Linked DNA regions of Oreochromis niloticus. The protein of the gene in region 1 purifies or fractionates together with the protein of each later gene. This does not show direct contact. Links are inferred from orthologs where the notes say so. Each region holds a gene or a part of one and is shown on either strand. Other genes may lie near its edges.

Region 1 (7,173 bases):
TTCAAGCGTAAAAGAAAAATGGCACGTAACGATGAGAAATTTCAGGAAGTGGTGTGAACTTTAAGTGCAGAAAAGTACTGTCAGATTTTTCATCTGATGTATGACGGCTTTTGAGAGGAAAGGAAGCCATGGACAAGCACCTTAGCTTGTTTTGTCAAGAAGTGAATTGGAGGTTCTTGTCCAAGCCTCCTTCTCCTCTTGTTTGGATTATTGAATGGAGTTTTCTGTTCTGACTCAAGCATCTATTAATTCCCTTCAGTCTGTCCAAAATGCACCTGTGAGACTCTTAACTCACTCTCAAAAGGCTTCATATGTCAGTCCACTTCTAACATTTTTGCACTGGTTTTCTGTCAGGTTAGAGTACAGTTTTAAAATTTTGGTTTTTCATCTCCATTATCAAAGTGCTCCACCCCTATTCTCCAGGCCGAGTTCGTAGGTCCTCAGAAGCATTCATGTAATTTCATATATCCTTTTGAAAACTAAGGGTAGACTGTGGCTTCCAAACCTTAGCTCCAAAACTTTGGAACAGCTTCCCACTCATTCTTTGCACCTTCCAGTCAGTGGCATCCTTTAAACGGCAGCTTAAAATGCATCTGTTCAGACGGGCATTTGGGTTATGTTTGTGTTTTTGCTCAGTTCATGTGTATCCATTTTGCCTTTTTTAACCTCTATAAAGCACTTTGAGTGTTCCATGTCTTCAAAATTGTTATAAAAGTGATTTTCACATACTCCTTTTGCACAATATCATATATAATGTATTTGATATCCCTGGTTTGGTTAACCAGTTACTGTTTCATTTATAGGATAATTACTTAGAATTGATCTGATTTCTTCTCTGTGCTCATTTACCCTATCAGGCTGACGCTCCTAACACAGGGCTGATTCCAGAAAGCGATGCTGTAGGAGTGACCGTAGTCCTTATAACCTGCACCTACCGTGGACAGGAGTTCATCCGCATCGGCTATTATGTCAACAATGAATACACGGACCCTGAACTACGAGAAAACCCACCTCTCAAACCAGATTACTCTCAGGTAACATACACAAGTACACCAATGACCATCATGAATAATACTGAGGGAAGCTGTTTCCAGCTGTCTGCATTTACTGTAATTAATCACTGAAGTGTACCCATGGTGCTAATTTATTTTATTTTATTCAGATATGACCACATTACATCAGCATTAGATGGTATTAAGTGTAGAATATGGGCCATATTTGTGGAAAAGTACTATAAATGGCTCTCTGCTGCCCTCTTGTGCCCGGAAATGTACAATTACAGATGACTGTAGCATCCTGTACGAAATAAAAGTAGAATTAACTGGGGATTATTTAGCACTGTGTTTTTGTTTTATTTGGTCTTGCATTGTTTTAAAAGAATGCACTAGTTCCGGTGGAAAAAAGTGTATTTCATGCTTCCTTGTACCAGTATCTACATTAGCATTAAAATCATTACCTTGTGCTTTATTCTCTTTACACTGGTCTTTTCCTTCTACAAATCCAACATAAAACCAACTATTCATTGTATTTAATTCAAAGCTATCCCATGTTCTGAGGGGAAATGTGCACTCCTAAGGATGGCTGTCATAACTAACTATTGAGCTCCCTAATTAGTAATCTAATTATGTCCTGATGTAAAAACATTAGCAGTCCACCCCTATTTCTAACAAGTTCTCATCATTGCAGCTCCAGAGGAATATTTTGGCCTCGAATCCTCGTGTCACCCGTTTTCATATCAACTGGGAGGGCTTGGCAGACAAGATGGAAGACAGTGAGAATGTTGACCCGTCCCCCAACATCAGTGGCATGTTCCCTCCATCCTGTATACCAGGAAAGATGCCACATCTAGGAGTGATGCCAGATAACTCCATGGACTGCATGTAAGAGGCATCAAATTAATGCAATGGATAAGGAGCCCTTCTTATCTATACACGCCCACATTGCAAACACACATTTATACAAGGAGGCCATGGATGTTTCTGTATAACATGTGGACTTTAACAGAAAGCACAGGACACCACAGCATAGACATTATCTTTTTATAAAGCACTCAAAAATGGGATTGGTCTGGAATTGTTACCACCTTTGGTTCCTCCTCTTTACGCACTTCCTTTCAACACACACACACACAGGTGTGCACAGTCAGATTTGCCTTAATTTATTGTATTTCTGTATAAGATTATATTTCATGCCTGGCTGAAAGAAGTGCAGATCATCAGTGCAGGGCCAGGTCGCTTCAACAGCCCTGAAACGTGTGGGACAAACTCAAGATTCTGATACCCATGTTGTTCATTTTGTCCTTTTCTGCACAGATCAACTAGTGCTATGTGATGGGAAGGATGTAGCACCTAGCTGCTTATAGTAGAGCACTTCATTCTTTGTAAGATTTGTCTCTTGTGACACCTACTGGGGGGAGGGAATTGGGTTTAAATTATGGGCCGTGTTTATGATATTGTGGCATCAAGTGGCTTTATTCGCATTAACATGTTTTTCCCCAGGGTTATCCAGATTACTCTGTAAACCTGCTTCTGTGAATAGGCCCCAGTTCACCTACTGTTACATAAAACGACTATATGAGCAAAACATGTAGGTAATGATGAAGGATGCCAAATTGCATTGTGTGTGTGTGTGTGTGTGTGTGGATGATTTAGGCTTGCTGTAAATAATGTTTTCCCTGTTCTTATTTTGTCTTCAAAACAAGAAGGCATGTTTTCATTTTGTACTTACTATACATTCTCAGCTTCAGTATTTGTAACAACAGTGATGGGGTTAATAAAGTTTTTTTTTTTTTTTTTTTGACCTTGTCGTGTTTCCTGTTAATCAGAACATGTTACATACGGCTGCTTTCCACCTTGACTTGTGTGGAAGGAAGCACTGCAACAGCAGAGAGACTCAGCACGTTGGCTTGCTCCTCGCCCTCCCATCTCTGGCTCCTTTCTGTTTTCCGATTTCATTCATAAAATGCAGCACCACCATTTTCACTCTAGCCTCATGTTGCTAGGCAACTACTGCACAAAAGGAAAGGGGGGCCTGTCTGTGTTCTCTTGCCCATTTTATCTTAGTTGAAGGGACCAACTCCCCCATCCATCCATCTGTTACCTCTGTCCACTTCTTACATGTCTGCACATTTGACCAGTGTATTTTCATATATTCATATTTAGCGGTAAAACCCATATGCAGCTTCAATTGTCCTTTAACAGCAGCCTGTAGCAGCGCTCAAATGATTCGTAGGTTTTAGGGGTCATGTAGATTTAAATCTTAAATTTTATTTAATTTTTTTTTTTTATAAATGTCTGCCATTAACTTGTGAAGCATTTGACATCATTGTTCTCATCATCATGTCTTTTGTGGTGAGACTGTGATATGTAAGTTACAACCATGTATAAGCAGAATTAGTGATTTGGTTGTTTGAGTCCGTTTTACATAACCGTGGTGGTGTCGTGTGAGCCCAAATGATGGTGTCAAACCCTGCAGCAGCTGAGAGATCTCGTATTCATAGAATGGATGTTTTTTCATACCATGAGTTTTTTTTCTTTTTTTTAAATTACCATCACAAGGTGAAATTGTCATTGAAATTAGATATTCAGATGCAAATCCATGTGAAACCGAGCCTTTTGAAGGTCCTGGTAATAAAAGGACTCTCGGTCATATGCTAGGCTAAGCCTGCAGGTGATCCAGGTGCTGGGGTGGTTGTGCTGTGTTGAAGGAGGCAGTTGGAGGGTTGACTGTAAAACATTCAGAAAGACGGTATCTCTTCGAGTGTTTAGAACGACCGTCTTGTTTCCTATTATTCTCACTAAATACACTCATCATTTAACGCACGGCGGTCTGCGAAATGTTTAGAAGTCCTGCCAGCCCGACCGCGCCGCGCGTGCGTTAAATTCTGACCAACATTTCTAAAAATAGCTCGCGGTTGACGTCACTTGGCCAAACGTGTATCAGTCGCTTGGCGGCGGTGGGAGTGGGGGGCTGAAGAGGGGTTTTTTTTCTACCTGCCAATCGTTACTCACAGCCAATAGACAACTTCACATTCGCCGAGATTCCCACGGTTCGCCTGCATCGAGCCAATGGAGGACGGAAACCAGGAAAAGTGGGCGGGTATGTCGTCGGGAGGAAAATAATCGGTGACGTTCCTCTCACTCGCTTTGTGTAGGGCGGTAGGATGGTGCCGCTCTTGATGGATTGCGAAGAGCCAATCAGTGCCTTCCGTGGGATACCGGCATACATAGGTTGCCAATCCGCGGGTTGGTTGCAGCTGTCAATCAAAACCCGGTTCTGGCTAGTGGGCGGGACGTTCAGTCGACTGTAGTTCCGTCATCTCGCTCGTCTCCGAGGCTACGGGGGGCCAATGTTGATTTGGGTGAATTCCCGTCGTCGTCGGACCCCGCCGAGGTTTAATTTTTAAAAGCTGGGTTTAGTAACGAAAAGTGGCGGCTCTTGGGCTGAGAATATCGCGTCCCCGCCTCTGGTGTCGTTTTTCTTTAGGCTGGGGAGAGGTGGGGAGCCGGGGGGGCTCGTTCGGCGGGGGCTGCAAGGAGGGACAGGCGAAGACTGGATCCTCCGTGTTCAGGCCATCTGCGCCGAGCTCGGCCTTACGGTCCAGTGAAGCCCCAACGACCGAGATACCTCAAAGGTATCCTCCCCGTGGATTTGAGCTATATATCGGTCGCCCGTTGCTGATGACTGAGTGAGTGAGCCCGCTTTACCATCTCGTCTCGCCCTGGCACCGCATCAGCATCTGCCAGGCTATTAAAGACCAAGACCTCGGAGTTAACGCTTGGTGCTTTTGGATTTAGAAAATACCGATCAGACCTAATCGAGATTAGACCGGCTTGAGAAGGCTGCAGGGCGGCCAAAAAGCCACGGATCTCCCGTTGACAGGTTGTCATCATGGGCAACGCGCCCACGGCCAGGAAGGGCAGCGAGATGGAAAGCGGTGGGTACCATCGCCTGTACGCTACACATAACACATTGCTCTGTTCCAGCCTCACGAAATCACCAGAGACGGTGTGACACAGCGGCTATGTTAGCTTCAGTTAACATTCCATGCAGCGGCCTATTTCTGCTGTCTGATTTAAAAAGATCCACTCATACTGCTCAGTCCTTAAATAAGCCTCTGCCAGGATAGCTTTCAAGAGCCCAAATTACGCAGCTACATTTCAACTAACTAACCTCATAATATAGAGATAGATGAATAGGTGCTCAGTAGTAGTGGTCCGTTTTGAACAGAGCTTTTTCTGTGGATTCAGTTGATGCTGCTGTATGATAAAGCAGGTGGTAGTACAGTTTCCATAGCCAAATCACTTCACGAGGTGCAAAACAACCAACAGCTATTGTAAGCTGCAAGAATCTTGGCAACTTCACATCCTCTTGTACTCAAATCTTGGCGAGATCACAACAAGCTATGTGTCAGATATTTCCCAAACACACAGTGCCTGTTGCTCTCTGGAAAGAGATGCTGCTGAAAGTGTGGGGGCTATTTTGTTTGGTGGACCCCCTTAAGATTTGCAGATTGACACTGAGCTAGTCTGATTGTCTGCTGTACTGTAAGTCCAAATACAGAAGGATGAATGTGCTCATGTCTGAGGTTATTCTGTTGTGTGTGGGTTTTTTTTAAACTTATCATTTTTGGAATAGCAATTTATTAGAAATGATGTGTAAAGGTTTATTTAGTTATGTATGTGTCACAAACTGAAGTAAATCTGAATACTGTGATGGATCTTTTTTTAAGAAAATCAAAGAAACCGGTATGCCAAAAGGACTGCTTGACATTTAAATCAAAACATCTAAGTATATGGCATAGCTACTTGGTATAGATGCATCCTGGTCACTGAGCAGCTGAGTTGTTTAGTTAAGGTGAGAATGGAAAGTGTTGATATTTAATAGGTGAACAAGTGTTTTGAAATGTGTCCTGGAATTTGAGCTTTTAAATGAGTATACTTGTTGATGAGATTTCAAGTTCAGGTATTTTTTTCTGCACTTGAGAATATTCTGCATGTAGTTTTCAGACTATCAGTCATATCTGGACTAATTGCTGTACATTTAGAAAAATCCCAACACAGCCTGAATTACCTTACAAACAGATAAGATGATCAGTGTGCGTCTCAAAACTTTCGACACATTGGCTAATCATCCATGTAGCCTCTGGGTCTTTGTGAGTAATAGTTATGAGCAGGTGGTTTTACGATGGATATGAATAAAATTTGATTTAATTAACAATTTTTAGTCAGACTCTGTGCTGTTGACTTCAGACAATAAAGTATGTGTTCTATTTCTTTAGTTTGCTGTTTTTTCACCTTCTGTATACACACCGATGCCCCACTAAAGCCTTTCTTATGTAAACACTGGTGTGTGTTTTTTCCACAGTCAAGGAATTCCTTGCTAAAGCCAAAGAGGACTTCCTCAAAAAGTGGGAGAATCCTGCACAGGTTAGTGTGTGCATGCACTTCTGCCCACTAAGCTTCAGAAATATGATACACAGGATATATTGTTTGTAATTTAATCCTAACTTTGTTTGCATGTTAGAAAAACAGAATTTTCAATCTAATTCTTTATGGCCAAAGAAATATATACATTATTTCTGTGTGTGTTGCTGCTTTTGAAAATGCCAATCATAGCTACTGAAATTTCACTTGTTTCATGTCTTTATTGTTGATTTGTTCAGTATTACCAGCTATCACTTTATGCAAATGACAGCCAATTCTTTTGAAAATTTTGATATATTCAGATGGCGGTATAAATAAATTGGTTTGTAAATAGCATCAGTTTTATTGTTTATTGGCTATTGGTTAGTGATGATGCTACTGTCTGACTGTTTTTAAAATGCAAGTTACTGTTTCAAGTAAACTGTGACATAAAACAACTTCATATGTTTTGTCATATTTAATGCTGCAAATTAAAATTCAATATACATTTTTCATATTGTATGCAGTATGAGTAAGAAAGTTAGAAAATAACCCGTAGGGCAATGTCAACTGTATCAACCCTAAAGCTATAAAAAAAATGTTGTTTTAGATCACCTAATATTCTTCGTAGACATTAATTAAACCATTAAATCTGTAAATCTGTATCAACATTGTTTGATTTATACTGTATATAATTTTCTCCATATGTTTTGGGACACTGGCTTATTTTTTATCCTTTATTAAGCTTATTGAAGTTAAATGATGAATG
Region 2 (7,469 bases), on another chromosome or scaffold:
ATAACATTAACTATTGATGCACCAGCAAAGCATGTCTGCTTAAAGCCTTGCTGCACCTTCTTGGCCTTTCCTGATCATGGGTGTGGCTATGAAGGAGGAAAGGAAAAAAAGACACTGGAACCTGTCAGTCAAAGTGTCTGACGATTGCAGATTGAGGCTCTAAGCCTGTAGTTAGCTGCAGTAAGTCAAGTTGGATGCCACTCAAACCAAATCACTGTTCACTCATTTGCTTTTCTGATAGTTCTGGAGGGTTTTTTTCAACATACAAAACAAACCCTGCACAAGGACACATCATAGCCAGAAAAAAAGACCCCCAAATGGATATTGAAAAGGCAATCTGATGAACTGATGAACTCACATCTTCTAACATCTATCATTACTAACAGAAACAAAACCACATTTGAGATCACATTACATGTGAGGCCACAGACTGACCGCTAACCACACTGATATATTGTAATTTAATATCAACTGACCATCCATTATATCACAGGTTTTTCTTTTTTTTTTTTTTACATTTTAAGTATGATGAGCATCTTAAGCTTATCATAGTTCAAGGGGAAGGTTCAGCAGTGTTGTAAGGAAGAAAAAGATGCAAGTTAATATGTTTTAATGCCATGATTCATACAATACTGAGACATCTGCGCCACACACTAAGCAAAATTAATAGTGAGGAAGTCAAAGCAGCACAGAGTGAATGAATTATAAAAAGATATACCATCTTTAGTTAAATTGCTGTTTAAATGACGTGTGCTTGGCTTTTAGCACTTGAGTGTTTGCTTCATTTTTAGGTCTGTAGATTGTCATTTGGTACTGACGTATCAATCACAAAGCAGGTCCACCCTAGAGCACCTACCTTATTCCCCTTTCTAAATGAAATGGGGACCATGATTTACAAAATGTTACATTTAGTAGGAAAGTATTTGAGGTCACAGACTAAGGGAGCTGAGGGCAATTCTCTCATAAACTTTTACACAATTACACATCGGTTTTCCTTTACCTGGAAGCTATGCCCATCTATCCCAGGCTTTGAGACTCTATGCCCGGGGAAATTGGTTTGAAAGGCCACAGCTACAGCATAAGTATATTAAATTTGGTAGATTATTGTGTGAACTAACTTAGGTATATAATCACATGTTCTCCTGTATTGGTAGGGAGTTTAATTTTAATTAAATAAGTGTCTGTTTTGTGGATATGGATACCAAATATTAGTCCTGTTTTAAAAACTTTAGACTGTCTGTCTTTGTCCGATGTTCCAGTCAAGAATCTGGACAGTTTGCTGACTATATTTATGATTTCATGACTGCAAACTACTGTCTTTCCTCCTAATTTTTATTACCCAAATTGTAATATAAATTTGGAGACAGTGCTAATGCACCAGCACCAAATCTGCAAACACACTGCAAACCACCCATGATATTATTTTCTCTTAAAGCAACAGGCTCGCTTTACAAACACATTACAAAACTGTAGCTGTCTTCTCAACTCATGTAAGGTCATTTCCTGATATAAAGGGTTTTGTTTGGAACAGCATTCTTCATTACAAAAGACTCTTTATCTTTAAATATGTAAGAATCATCTAAATGATCTTTCTCAGAACGAGTAAAGCATTGTGCAACAGAGATTGTTTTTAATCCCAGACACAATTCTCAACACATATTTCCTAGTTTTTCTTGGCTGTGTGGTTTCATGACTACTTGCTTCATTTCAGGCTGACTTTCATGCTGTGTCTATAAAATAACTGACAATTAAATTTCCCCAAGTGGCTTTTTAAAATTTCATTTTCTTTCTGCCTTTGCACTGATTTATTTCTCATGAGTAAAAGAACAAACAAAAAAGCTATACAAATGTACACACGCACACATAGACACAAAAATTACACACAGGAAGAGGGGGTCTGCAGCATGGCGGACTGTGCTGACACAGAAAAGCTGGACCGAGCCTGCAGCCTCCACATTGACAACGCTACAACTTAACACACTGCACACACACACACACACACACACACACACACACACACACACACACACACACACACACACACACACGCACACATACTCTCTCTCTCTCTCTATATATATATATCATGCACCACAGACCAGAAGGGGATGGAGGAAAATGAGCAAAAAGGAGTGCAAAGCTGATTTTCTACAAAGACAGGCTGAAGACACAAAGAAAAGACAGCAACACAGAGAGGAAAACAGAGCTCAGCATTAAATGGCTGATGTGCTTTGAGGTGAGATATCTGCGGTGGGAGTGCGAGGGCAAGTGAAGAAAAGAGAGGCAGAGTGAGATGAAGAGAGGGAGGAGTGTACACGGTGTGCCGCGTGTCTCCTCTCCAGTCATGACTGAGCAGCAGCCTCACCATGACGGAGCCCCCGTTCCCATGACAACCCCGGCTGTCAGATGGAGGGAAGAGCAGAGGAGGGATGCGGGGAAGGAGAGGAGCGATGGAGGGAGATAGAAACATAAAGATGAACGTGGTTTACTTACGGGGCGTTTGCTGTGCCGTTCCGCTGCAAAGGTGTGTCTGACATGGCTGCAACACCCGCTTCTTGCGCTCCCTTTTCCTCTCTCTCCTTCCTCGTCCTCTTCTCCTACTCCTGTCCTCTAGTGTCCTTTTGACAGAGTTATGTCCTCCTCCTCCTCTCTCGTCCTCCTCACCTCCTCGTCCTCCTCCCTCTTTGCCTCTGTATCTTCTCCACCTCCTCCTCCTCTCCTCTCCTCCTCCTCCTCCTCTTCCTCCTCCTTCTTTCCTTCTGCCTTTTCGGTGTGTGTTCTTTATACGCCAGGATGTGTCAGAGCAGCTGCTGCCGCCGCTCCTGCATCACCCCGCTCTGCTAGCAGGAGGCAACGGGTGCAAGCATGTGCGTGTATGTGTGTGAGTGAGAGAGCGAGAAGGACATATAGACAGAAAGAGCGAGAAAGAGAATTGAGTCAAAAGATATGTTATAGGAGGGAGTGATGAAAGAAAGCAAGGACTGTTGTATAGAGATATAGCCAGGGATAGGGAAGAGAGGGTGGCAAAGAGGCAGCAGAGAGAAAGAGAGAGAAACAATGGCTTTAGGGAGTTAAAGGATAATGAAAGGAGTGGCCAACCTGTTTTCACTAACTACCTCTTGCAAACAACCTTTCCCCTCTGAGGATGACGAGGGTTTTCTTTAAAGAGACAGGTAGGATAGTAAAAGACACTGTTTGGTCAATGTGAAAAAAAATTTCAGAAATGGAAGATATCTGAAGGGATAGGAGTGACAGGACTGAGCTGTGTTATATCACTGATTCAAACACGACAGCTGTTTTTTTTAGGATCATATGGAGTTTAGAGTGAGAGCCTGGGAACACACTGTCTTACGCTGACTGGCCATTTCATTAGTTACACTTAGCTAGTACTGGTTTGCTTTCAGACCTGGCTTAATTCTTCCTGCCGTTGATTTAACAGGGTGATGGAACCATTCGTCAGAGATTTTGGTCCATATTAATGTGACAGCATCACACAGTTGCAGCAGATTTGTACATCCATTATGTGAATCTCCTGTTCCATCACATTCACGGTGCTCTGTTTGATGGAGGTTTGGTGACTGTGGACAGTGAACACATTGTCATGTTCAAGAAATGAATTTGAGATAGTTTGAGCTTTTTGACATGAAATGGATATGGTCAGAAGCAATACTCAACTAGACTGTGCCATTTAAAGGATGCTCAGTTGGTACTAAGGGCCTCAAAGTGTGGCAAGAAAATATCCCCCACACCATCTCACCACTGATATGAGCCAGGATGGGTCCAGGGTGTCATGTTGTTTACACCAAATTCTGATCCTGCCATTTGAGCTTTTTCCAATCTTCTATTGTATACTTTTTGTGAGTCTGTGCAATCCGTACCCTCAGTTTCCTGTTCTGAGCTGACAGGGATGTCACCCAATATGGTCTTCTGCTGCTGTAACCCATCTTCTTCAAGGGTTGACATGCTCTTCTGCAATACTTTGGTTGCTATCAGCCCAAGCAGTCTGACCACACTCCTCTGAAATCTAACATTACTAAGGGATTTTCTTCCCTGCTGCTCACTGGCTATTTTCTCTTCTTTGGCGCATTTTCCATAAACCTTAGCTAGGAATGAAAATCCCAGTAGATCATCAGTTTCTGAAATATTCAGACTAGTCTGGGACCAGCAAACATGCCATGTTCAGAGTCAATTTAAATCACCTTTCTTCAATATTCTGATGCTCATTTTGAACTTCAGCAGGCCGTCATAAACATCTCCACAATCCTAAATGTACAGAGGTGCTGTCATCAGAGTGGTCCATTCATGTTAACAAGGAGCTGTGGTGGAGCTGTAACAGTATGGTGGTGGTTGACTATACAACATGCCTGAGTTTTACAGAGAGAATGCATCCAAAACTAAAACACAACAGAAATTGAAAATGCATCCTTACTCCAGCAGCTCTCGCATCTCTAACAAGAGCCCCTCACACCAGACAAGTATGTGTTAAATTATTTGAGTCATATGTGTTAAAAAAATTAAACCAAAAGTCCACAGAGACACTTGGTTTCAGATTGGATATGAAGCCTGTTTTTCCTCTAACCTCTTCAGCCACATTTGCTCTTACCCAGCAAGACCTGTGATTTGCTGAAATCTCCCCCCACAGGCTATATTTTATTAAGAAAAAAACCTCTGTAAATTACAATATGCTGAAAGGTTAGTTAGAATTTTTTGCCTGGACATGTCATGACTACATTTGGGAGATTGCAGTTAGTTCCTTCAGATTTCAGCTTGAGAAATGACATATCTAATACGTCAAGGAGAACTGCAGCACACTGAAAGATAAATGTCCGTTTTTTTCTCTCTACAGCTCCGAAAATATCTAACAAAACTGTAACGTGTTCTTTAACTTGTCTTTCACGGTAACAGTTTATAAATATACACAGCTGGCAGCAGTTTCACGTTTCTAATTACAGATCTCTCGGATAAGTACCACAAACAAACTGAAAACACAAAGAGGATTGTGTATCAGCTATTGAATTAACACAACATATTGCAGATATTCCCAATATAAAAGTGGTTTGTGGCTTTTTGGATCTCATCAGATATTTTAAACTGACTACTGGTTGCTACTGTAAGTGCAGGGTAGTGAGTGCTGTTTAGTCTATGGGAACTTTTCTCAGAAAGCCGAACAAGGAGCTCAAATGTCTTTTTATGGGCTCTATAACCTGCTGGACGCACACTTAGCAGCAATGAAGGGGGGCCAGGGAAAAGCATAATCTAATCTTTCTGGTTTCTCTTATTTCCTCCTTTTAATATTTGACTAAGTCCATGAGAACGTGCCTCACTCTGACATCTTTCCTTTTTTCCTGCTGTTATTAACCAATCTTTTTTTCCCCACTGACAGGAAGGAGGACATGAAAACGTTTACAATACAATACAAAAGATTACCTCTGAAGTAAAATAAAACAAAAACTCAAATCCCTTAGGGTTAAGGTGCTACTCATCTACCACCGTCATCCATCTGCCTTACTCATCTATCCCAGAATCTCACTAGCTAAGTGGAGCACACTTTTAAACCAATCAATATTCTTCCACTGGCCACTTTATTAGTACACCTCTTTATCTGCCTGCTGATGCAAATATATAATCAGCCAATCACCTGGCAGCAACTCAACAAATTTAGACTCAGAATGTAGACATCATCAAGACGACCTGCTGAAGTTCAACCTGAGCGTCATAACGGGGAAGAAAGGTATTTTTGCACAGCATATGATCTATAGTTGTGTGTGCAACATATACACAGTTGTTTTTGTGTTTCATAATATTCCAGACTGTTGGGAGGGTGGTGCAGATAAAAAAAAAAAAGGACAAATTATAAGACTTAGGAAGTTAAATAAGTCGTAAAGCTATTTTATATGATAGCTCAATATTGCCATAAATGTTCTTGGTCTTGAGTTTTTCGCTGTGCAGGTCATTTACCCGGCTCAAGGACAAAGTGAATATCACATTTCTTAAAGCACTGACATGTTTCACATTCCTGGTTGTCACACTTTTGTCGTCACTTGTATGGTTTCTTCTCAACTCATCTGCTTCCTCACTGCTGCGCCCTCTTTCTCCCTCTGTGTCCCTTCCCATCAGTTTGTGTTGAGTCCATGGTTATCATGTTGCTTGGTATGTCAACTATTTAGAGGCTGCTCTTTAGGTTTAGGTAGTGACCTTAAATGGGCACCACTCTTGCACCCTCCACCCTCTTTTACACACACCAACACTCAATCCCACCCTGGAGGTTGTGTTACTAGCATGTGGTTATTCATGCTGCTGAGCTTAGGCGGTATAATATAATGGTAATATATAGATTTTAACATATGCAGTTAATAAATTATCCCCATGGGATTAGTTCTTCTTAAGTCTTTTTCTAATATAGAAGAAATAGTGATGCTCAAAAGTGACTCATTTATAAACTCATAACTTTGAGGAATTAAAAGTTTTAATATTATAGGTTATTTACTGAACTCAATTTGTTTATGAGCACATTTAAGAAAAAATCAAAGTTGGATCAGTTAAATTCAAAGCACAGAAAACATAAATGGATGTGCATTAACACAACAGCATTGTGCAGAGGATTTCACAGAAGAGAGCCATATTTTCATGACAAGACATGAAAAGGCAACAGAAAACAAAAGGGTTGTCAGATAAAACTTTTGAGCTCTTTATTTCAACTAGTAGTTGTGGAGTTTGCTGAAGGGCTATGATCACCAGCTTTAGGTAAAACAAGGTTTTGTGTGCAGGAGAAGTTTTATATATTTTTTTTTAAAAAAAGGCCCTAGAATGCAGCCTTGTGGTATTCCACAGAAAATAGGTACAGAAGTAAATGAACTTGTATTGAAGATCTGTTTCTAGAGGAGGGAACTCACTAAAGGACAAATTACTGAATTCCAGGAGCATGTGTAGGGCACAGTGACAGACTTTGAGGTCTTAAAAATAAGTCATTGTCACCCTTAGATGAGCAGACTGTGCTCTGAGGTGAAACCTAAAACTTGACTGAAATTTGTGCAGGATGCAGAAGAACTGATCTGCGAGAGAGCAGACTAATTTAGTTTAGTAATACAAATAATTTGTATTAACAAAAAAACAGAATTAATTTCAATGTAATATTTAAAGAAGACGCGGGAGCATGCGTTTATCTGTGAAGTTTAACTGTTAAGGATGTTGAGTTCTGAGATTATCTGGCGCTAATTGTTTAGTAATAAACATTCATATGGAATATGTGTTGCTTCAGGATGACTTTTAAATACAGTCTGAAGCTGCGGTTATTATACCAATACAACTCTATGGATGTGTTTGAAAATAACATTTAAAAAAAATATATATATATTTTTCTCTCCATGCTTTGGCTTATTGTTGACATTTAACAAGAGTATTAGAGTCTACCACATGTGGCTTTTTTCGATTTTCACTCTGCTCCCCTGCAGTTCTGATATTATGAGTTG

The links.
Region 2: the proteins of prkacab (region 1) and palm2akap2 purify together in Homo sapiens (affinity purification with mass spectrometry; 5 studies listed by BioGRID and IntAct, with this or other methods). This does not show direct contact. The link is inferred for Oreochromis niloticus from reciprocal best matches to the Homo sapiens genes PRKACA and PALM2AKAP2.

What each region holds. Positions count from the first base shown.
Region 1 is NC_031971.2:31,066,288-31,073,460, reverse strand, and holds the start of prkacab (cAMP-dependent protein kinase catalytic subunit alpha), read left to right. Parts: upstream 1-4,135; 5' UTR 4,136-4,890; coding exon 4,891-4,936; intron 4,937-6,366; coding exon 6,367-6,428; intron 6,429-7,173. Other genes in the region: asf1bb (histone chaperone asf1b-B), read left to right, coding at 858-1,034, 1,687-1,884.
Region 2 is NC_031972.2:26,864,453-26,871,921, forward strand, and holds the start of palm2akap2 (palm2 and akap2 fusion), read right to left. Parts: upstream 3,035-7,469; 5' UTR 2,538-3,034; coding exon 2,494-2,537; intron 1-2,493. UniProt on the Homo sapiens protein: Binds to regulatory subunit (RII) of protein kinase A. May be involved in establishing polarity in signaling systems or in integrating PKA-RII isoforms with downstream effectors to capture, amplify and focus diffuse, trans-cellular signals carried by cAMP.